Linked DNA regions of Oryctolagus cuniculus. The protein of the gene in region 1 binds, or shares a complex with, the protein of each later gene. Links are inferred from orthologs where the notes say so. Each region holds a gene or a part of one and is shown in the gene's direction. Other genes may lie near its edges. The genes, in order: GTF2A1 and POLR2H.

What was found.
Region 2: GTF2A1 (region 1) and POLR2H share a complex: the UniProt entries of both Homo sapiens proteins name them as parts of the TBP-based Pol II pre-initiation complex. The link is inferred for Oryctolagus cuniculus from reciprocal best matches to the Homo sapiens genes GTF2A1 and POLR2H.

What each region holds. Positions count from the first base shown.
Region 1 is NC_091451.1:27,041,104-27,044,912, reverse strand, and holds part of GTF2A1 (transcription initiation factor IIA subunit 1), read left to right. Parts: intron 1-1,049; coding exon 1,050-1,254; intron 1,255-2,808; exon of another isoform or gene 2,809-2,952; intron 2,953-3,380; coding exon 3,381-3,445; intron 3,446-3,809. UniProt on the Homo sapiens protein: TFIIA is a component of the transcription machinery of RNA polymerase II and plays an important role in transcriptional activation. TFIIA in a complex with TBP mediates transcriptional activity.
Region 2 is NC_091435.1:93,932,051-93,936,304, forward strand, and holds the start of POLR2H (DNA-directed RNA polymerases I, II, and III subunit RPABC3), read left to right. Parts: upstream 1-1,181; 5' UTR 1,182-1,692; coding exon 1,693-1,765; intron 1,766-3,812; coding exon 3,813-3,896; intron 3,897-3,979; coding exon 3,980-4,073; intron 4,074-4,254. UniProt on the Homo sapiens protein: DNA-dependent RNA polymerase catalyzes the transcription of DNA into RNA using the four ribonucleoside triphosphates as substrates.

The sequences.
Region 1 (3,809 bases):
ACGTTCAAGTATGCTGTTTGTTTTTTCTTTACTTAGAATTGACAGAAGAGTTCCTTGGGTCATTGTTGTGGTGTGTTGCTGCCTCCAATGCTGGGGGCCTGTATGAGCTCTTGTTCATGTCATGGATGTTCCATCTCAGATCCCGCTTCAAGCTAAAATGCCTGGGAAAGCAGCAGAGAATGGCCCACGTGCTTGGGCCCCTGCCTCCCACATGGGAGACTTGGATGAAGCTCCTGGTTCCTGGCTTCATCCTGCCCTGGCTGTTGCAGTCACTTAGGGAGTGATCCAGTGTATGGAAAATCCTTCTCTCTGTGTCTCCCTCTTTTTCTGTAACTCTGCCTTTCAAATAAATAAATAAATCTTTTTTTTTTTTTTTTTAAAGGGGGCAAACAACAGAGTTTCTGAGTACTGTGAAGGATTGTGGTGCATTGGTTTAAGCCCCTGCCTGCAATACCAGAATCCCAAATCAGAGCGCTGATTGGAATCCCAGCTGCTCTGCCTCCAATCCAGCTCACTGCTAGTGCACGTGGGAAAGCAGTGAAGATGACCCATGCCACCTATGCGGGAGACCTGGATAGAGTTCCAGGATTCTGGCTTAGGCCTGGTCCAGTCCTGGCCATTACTGCCAGTTGGGTAGTGAATCAGTAGATAGAAGATCTCTGTCTCTGTCACTGTGCCTTTCAAATAAATAAAATTCTTGAAGAGAAGAATTCCATAAAGATAGTTTCATAATGGTTCTGATACTACAAAGGATAATCTTTTTCTGAAACTCTGTGCTATATAATAGCTGATGATTAAAGAGTTGCTATGAAAAGATGGTTGAAGATAAAAACAAAAATTTCTTTAGGTTGCTAAAGTGGCAAAGAGGAAGTTTGATACTTTAAAAAATTGTTTTCATTATCCTTTGCACTTAGATGAGATTTGAGGTTATATTTTTGTGCTATGTAAGTTTTTAAATGGAAGAATTCCATAAATAGCTAGTAAAAATATGTTTGACCATGTATTGAGTTATTTTTTCATTTTTAAACTTTTAATGTTGTTTGCATTAGTTGTGGGAGAATAAACTAATGCAGTCTAGAGCAGTAGATGGATTTCATTCAGAAGAGCAACAACTTTTATTGCAAGTTCAACAGCAACATCAACCCCAGCAGCAACAGCATCACCACCACCACCACCATCAGCAAGCTCAGCCTCAGCAGACAGTACCTCAGCAAGCCCAGACCCAGCAGGTCCTTATTCCTGCATCACAGCAAGGTGAGACTAGATCTGTTTTCCTAACTACTTGGAAATTAAGTTGGTCATTTTAAAAGACTAGAAATACTCTAGGTCACTTGGATCTTGTTTTTAAAAGGTATTTCATAAACCTAAAAAAAAAAGTACTGATTTTGTTTTTCCCTTTTCTATGTATGTTTTTATGTATATAAATTTGTATAAAATGTGAGTCCTATTTGTAGAATAGTGATAGACAAATAATTACCTGATTGAAACCCTAAAATAGTATTCAGATACTTGTACTAATGTTTTTTAGGAAGTACATATAGTGGTGGCTTTCCTAAAATTTAAGTCAGATTTATAATTTTTTTTTAACTAAGATTTCATTGTTTTATATAGTAAAGTAGTTATTTCTTCATGAAACATTTTCCTTCAAAGGGATATTGGTGTTGTTTTTATGTCTTAAATCCTGAGTTTTGAACCATATGTTGGCATTCTGAAAATTCAGTACCATGGTAATTTCTGTGTCTAAATTAACAATTAAATTTCTTTTATGTGAATAGTTGATCTATATATCTTGATGTATATTATTACTCTGTTTAAAGGTATGAACAATGCACAATGCAAAACTATTTGTTTTTCATTTATTTTTAACTGAAAGGCTGAGAGAGAGAAAGGGAGAGAGAGATCCTTCTATCTACTGGTTTATTGTCCAAATGCCTGCAACAGTGTGGGCTGGGACAGCCTGAAACCAGGAGCTTGGAACTCAATCCAGTTCTCTCTTATGGGTGGCGGGTGCCTAAGTACTTGAGTCATCACCTGCTATCTCCTAAGAAAGATGAGGCTTCATTTTGACTCCTTTTAGGAACTCTATGAAATAGTTCTTAGCTCCATTGCTTCATAGCTGAGGCAAATCTGGGCCTTAAAAAGGCTGAGAAGCATGATCCATTATATGTAGCAAATATTTTCTGTCATAACAACTATGTTCAATTAAAAACTTACTAAGTATTCTAATTCAGTGAATCTTGATTGTTATTGGAGAAGAAGGTAAATGAAAAGCTTGTTTTAAGGTAACCATTTAGTTAACCTACATATATATGTGTATGACTTGAAATTGATAGTGAAGGGCAAGCATTGTGGAGCAGCCAGGTTAAACTGCTGCTTTTAATGCCTGCATACCACATCAGAGTACTGGTTGAAGTTCTGACTGACTGCTCTGCTTCTGATCCAGCTTCCAGCTAATGCACCTGAAAAGGCAGGAGATAATGGCCCAAGTACTTAAGTCCCCGCCACCCACTTGAGAAATCTGGATGGAGTTTTAGGTTCATGATTTCAGTCTTGTTCAACCCTGGCTATTGTAGGCATTTGAGGAGTGAACAGTGAATTCACAGTCTCTCTCTGTTTTTTTTTCTCTCTCTCTCTTTCAAATATATACATATATACATACATAATTCTTTTAAAAAAAGTGAAAAAAATGATAGTGATACACAGTGGAAAGGTCTTTTTGGGTTGTTTTGCTGTTTATATAAAGTAAGATTTAATATCTGCTTTAAATCTATCCTTTGTTATCAAATATTTTTAACTCTTAATCTTTTCTGATGACTGTTCCTCCTAATGCTTTCAAGCCTGGCATTAGGATTTTAGGTCATCATAAATTAAAATTTGATTTTCTTCACTCAGAGATTATGTGGATAATGGGATTGTCTGTCTGTTCTCTGAAATTTGCGGAATCAAACATTTAATGCCTTTTACACTTAAGTAACATCACCATTATTTTCAATTTCTACTTTTCGAACAATTAGTAACATCCTAGCAACTGTCAAATTGGGAGAAAAGGATTGTAGATTAAAAAAAGTAGTTATAACTGAATTTTGTTCCTAATGAATTAGTAGCTGTTGTGATAAGTATTTCATTTCCTCATCTTACTGAATTCCTTTGCAACCTTCAAATTTATCACTTAAATACTTAAATATTGATGTTTTCTGTTATGATACAGTTATACTAGAGCTTTAAATGCTGTAAAATGTATAACATTTTGAAGTATCAAGGGGTTGAGGGCATTTAAATGCAGAAAAAGTTTTCAGCATTAAATAACATACTTGTGATTATGAAATAGCCTTAGGGTTCCTTGTTTCCATGTGTGTTTATTTGATTTAATTATTTTGTAGCCACGGCACCTCAAGTTATTGTTCCTGATTCTAAGCTGATACAGCACATGAATGCATCAAACATGGTAAGACTCATAGTGTAGCACTTTGATTGGCTTTGCGTCTTCTAACTCAGATAGGGATCTTGCCTGGGTATGTTGTATATTAACAACTTGAAGTTTATTGAAGACTTGAACAAGACAGATATTTTATTTAGTTTCTTATATATTGTATTTAGCAGCAGATCTAAAGTTTAACTTGGTATTTCAGCATTAAGCTTCATAAAATTACGTAATTTTCTGTTTAAAAAGTACCAAAAGGTGTTTTATGGGAGCTCTTTTATCCCTGTTTGTTTAAAACTGGGTAATTCCCAATTCGAAGATACTCAGTAAAAATAGTTTTGATTTTTCTAATGGTGCTGTGTGCTATAGAAATCAACATTTTGAAAAA
Region 2 (4,254 bases), on another chromosome or scaffold:
CGAGAGCAGAGTGCGGCGGGCCCCGGGCGGGCGCCGCTGGCACGGCCTCCCGCTCCCGTCCCCTCCTCGGCGGGCGGGCCGAGGGCGGTGCCCTCTGCGCTGCTCCGCCCGCCAGCCCATCCGGAGGGGCCGGCCTAGCCCGGCTAGGGTCTGCGACGGGGCCGCCTCCCAGGCTCCGGAGAGGCGGCAGGGGGCGCCTGGAACGCGCCTGCCGGCGGAGAAGGACTGAGAGGGGCGCCCGCGGCCGGGGCGGGGCAGGGCCACTGGCACGTGGAGCCGGTCCACAGCTCTCCGTGCAAGGCGGAGAGGGACCGGAGCCGCCGGGCGCTTAGGACTTCGGGCTCGGGGCTGCAGGGCTGCTAATTCGTGAGAGCAGCTGCCTTCTCTGCTGAGGACTGGAGGCCCAGGCGGGCCTGGAAAGGCCCCTCTGCGGGGGATTCGGAGGGCCATTCTGGGCTCCTGCCCTTGCTCGGGGCTAGCCTCAGGAGGTGCCCCTGCAATACCGGACCCGCCGGATTTTGCGGGCAAGGGGACTGGGAAAGAAAGGCCCGAGGGAAGGGAGTTCTAGTGCCTGGAAGGCAGGCGTCGGGGGTGGGGTGGGGTGGGCAGAGGTCGCTTCTCCTGGCAGGGCCCAAGGAAAACCCCAGGAGCTGCTGACGTCTCGCCGCCTTGGGGAAACGGCCTGCTGGGGTTTGGCTTTCTCTATCAGGGTCCGGGGAAGGAGAGAACAGAGGGTGGGGTGAGCACGGGGTGCACGGGCAGCGTTCGAGATAGCGAGCGCAGACGCGGCGTGCAGGAGGGCGGCAGGAGGCCAAGGAAGGGAGGTTGTGGGAGAAGGGGGCCAGCACCCGGGAGGAAGAGACAGGAAAGTGATCCAAGAGGAGGGCAGTGCTGGGGGAACACGCGGCACACGCTGAGGGGGCACTGCTAACGGGTAGGGCAGTGTGAGGGGATTTGTGGCAGGCGGAAGGAGCGAGCAGGGCCCAGGGGAAGAGGGCAGTGGTGGGGGGAGGGTGCAGCGCCAGAGGAGGGCAGTGCCAGCTTTCCTTTCCCCCGGAGTGATATCCTGGACGGCCCCGGCTCAGGTGACGTCCAGCAGGGCCGAGCCAGCCCCCGCCGACCTGGGGGCCCTCGGTGCCAGTTGAGGGACTAGGCATTACGTCCTGCTGGGCTAGCGCTCTGGGGGCGGAGTTTTGTTGCACCCGTCCCCGGCGCGGACTATGCCCTCGGGGGACACGAGGACCGGCAGGGTAGGGCTAGGGCCCGGCTTCTCTGGGGCAAAGATCAAGGTCTCGGCCTGGGTTAAGTCTCCAAGCATTCCAGGCTTCAGGGCCCGGACTCTGGAGAGGGCGAAGCGGAGCCCCAGCGGAGCGCGATAACCCGAGCCACCTCCGCCAGAGGTGGTGCTTGGGGCGTTCCCGCCCTGGGCGGAGTCACCTGGCTCGGAGACACGCCCTCAATGCGTGTTCCCTCGCCAGCAATCTATCGGGGCGGAAGTTGAGAATCCCCGAGGTGGAGGCGGCGGAAGTGGCTGCCGTACTGCAAGCTGGTGCGCATGCGCTTTCCTGCTGCTCTGCCGCCAGCGTTCAGGCGCCTTTTGCTCTAGTGTCTTCTTTTTCCACGCGAGAGTGGGCTAACTCGTAGTTGTGGTCTCGCTCCTCGCGTTTCCGCTGCTCTCGTGGCCCCCTCACGATGGCGGGCATCCTGTTTGAGGACATTTTCGATGTGAAAGACATTGACCCGGAAGGCAAGAAGTTTGACCGAGGTAGGTAAGGTGTGGGGTTTGGCCGAAGAAACTAACTTCCTCGGGACACACCCCTGGGCTCCGGCTCACGTGGCCTGCCCTTGCGGCAGGTCCTGATGTAGGGGCCTCTCCCAGGAGACCTTTTATGGATGAGAAAGCCGAGACGCCGAGCTCTCCCTGGCTGCACACACGCGGTGCCCAGTGCCATGGTGGTGGCAGGCTCCTGGACGTCTCTGCAGTCGCCTCTCACTTACACACATTTTGCCTTATTTAGTGCTCTCGAGAGTTCCCAGGAGGTAGGTGGTGCCTTCCTCTCCTCCTGGAGGGTAAGTTTGCCACCCAAGGCTGCACCGTGGTCAGTCTGACTTATGAGCCCGAATTCTTGTGTGGAGTCGAGTCTCCAGCTGATGTCAGACCCTCTGAGTTAACTGCGCGGTGCAGGCCAGGCGCCCGAGGTGTTTTTCAAGTCTCAGTTATTCAGTGAGATAATCCCCTTAGCATGGGAGAGGACACCTTTGGTTGAAGAAGTCCCTTGCCCAGACCCAGGTTCTAAATCACCCAGGTAGTGCCTAGAACTCTGTCTTTTGCTGCTAGAATATTTTGATTTGGGGGCAGGATTCCATTCATTTGCCATGCTTTTTTAAAAAATTATTATTATTTTTTAAAGATTAATTTTATTTATTTGAAAGAGAGAGAGGTAGAGACAGAGAAAGGTCTTCCATCCTTTGGTTCACTCCCCAGATGGCCACAACGGCTGGAGCTGTGCTGATCTGAAGCCAGGAGCCAGGAGCTTCTTCCAGGTCTCCCACACGGTGCAGGGGCCCAAGGACTTGGGCTATCCTCTACTGCTTTCCCAGGCCACAGCAGAGAGTTGGGTTGGAAGTGGAGCAGCCAGGATATGAACTGGCACCCATATGGGATGCCGGCGCCTTAGGTCAGGGCGTCAACCCACTGCGCCATAGTGCCAGCCCCAATTATTAATTTTTAAAGACTTATTTATTTATATGAAAGGCAGAATTACAGAGAGAGAGAGGGGTCTTTAATCCGTTGGTTCACTGCCCAGATGGCCACAATGGCCGGAGCTGCACTGATCTGAAGCCAGGCTCCTGGAGCTTCTTCCAGGTCTCCCACGTGGGTGCAGGGGCCCAAGGACCTGGGCCATCCTCTTCTGCTTTCCCGGGTGCATTAGCAGGGATTGGAAGTGGAGCAGCTGGGACTTGAACCGGCACCCATATGGGATGCCAGCACTGCAGGTGGGGCTTTGCCCACTAATCCACAATCGCTGGCCCCTGCCATGGTTTTTGTCCTCCATGCATATCTGGTTCTGAGCGAGCCTGCATTTCTCTCTCTCTCTCTCTCTTTTTTTTAAGGTTTGTTTTATTTATTTGAAAGACAGAGATAGGGAGAGACAGTGAAAGAGGTCTTCCATCCACTGCTTCACTCCCCAGGTGGCCTCAGTGCCTGGGGCTGGGTGAAGCCAAAGTGATCTGGGAGCTGGATCAGAAGCAAAGCAGCCTCTTCCAACTGGTGCTCTGATACAGAATGCCCACCTCGTACACAGCAGCTCTGCCCACTGCACTGCAGTGCCTGCACTTTTTTTTTTTTTTTTTTTTTTTTAAGATTTACTTACTTGTTTGAAAGGCAGAGTTACAGAGAGGCAGAGGCAGAGAGAAAGAGAGGTCTTCCATCTGCTGATTCATTCCCCCAAATGGTTGCAATGGCATGGGCTGGGCTGATCCGAAGCCAGGAGCTTCTTCCAGGTCTCCCACATGAGTGCAGGAGCCCAAGGACTTGGACCATCTTCTGCCTTCCCAGGCCATAGCAGAGAGCTGGATCAGAAGTAGAGCAGCAGGGACTCGAACCAGCACTCATTTGGGATGCCAGTGCTGCAGGTGGCGGCTTTACCCAATATGCCCTGTGCCTGCACTTCTGTGAGAGCACATAAGAGGCCAGTGGATGTAGATCAGGTTACATTAAATAGTCGATTGCCTGTAATTCCCAAACTGGGATCTGTCAGATCTGCCTTTGCCCTGGTAATTACATCGTCCGTCTCTCTGCTTCTCCCCAGTGTCTCGACTGCACTGTGAGAGCGAATCTTTCAAGATGGACCTCATCTTAGATGTAAACATTCAGATTTACCCTGTGGACCTGGGTAAGTATTGAACCCAGAGAATCAACAGAGGCTTCTTGCCGTCTCAGCTATTCTTTACGCCCAGATATTGCTGCTGTTTTCAGGTGACAAGTTCCGGTTGGTCATAGCTAGTACCTTGTATGAAGACGGGACCCTGGATGATGGGGAATACAACCCTACAGATGACAGGCCTTCCCGGTAAGGAGTGGGGATGGGAGGCCTGGAATACACGCTGAGGACTGAGATCAGTGGTAGAGAAAGACTGTTTAATTCTTGGAATAAGTGATTATCGGCAGAATTGGAGCAATCTTAAATAAATTACTGCACTTTAGAATTCAAACAACTGATGGAGCTGGCATTGTGGTGTAGCAGGTTAAGC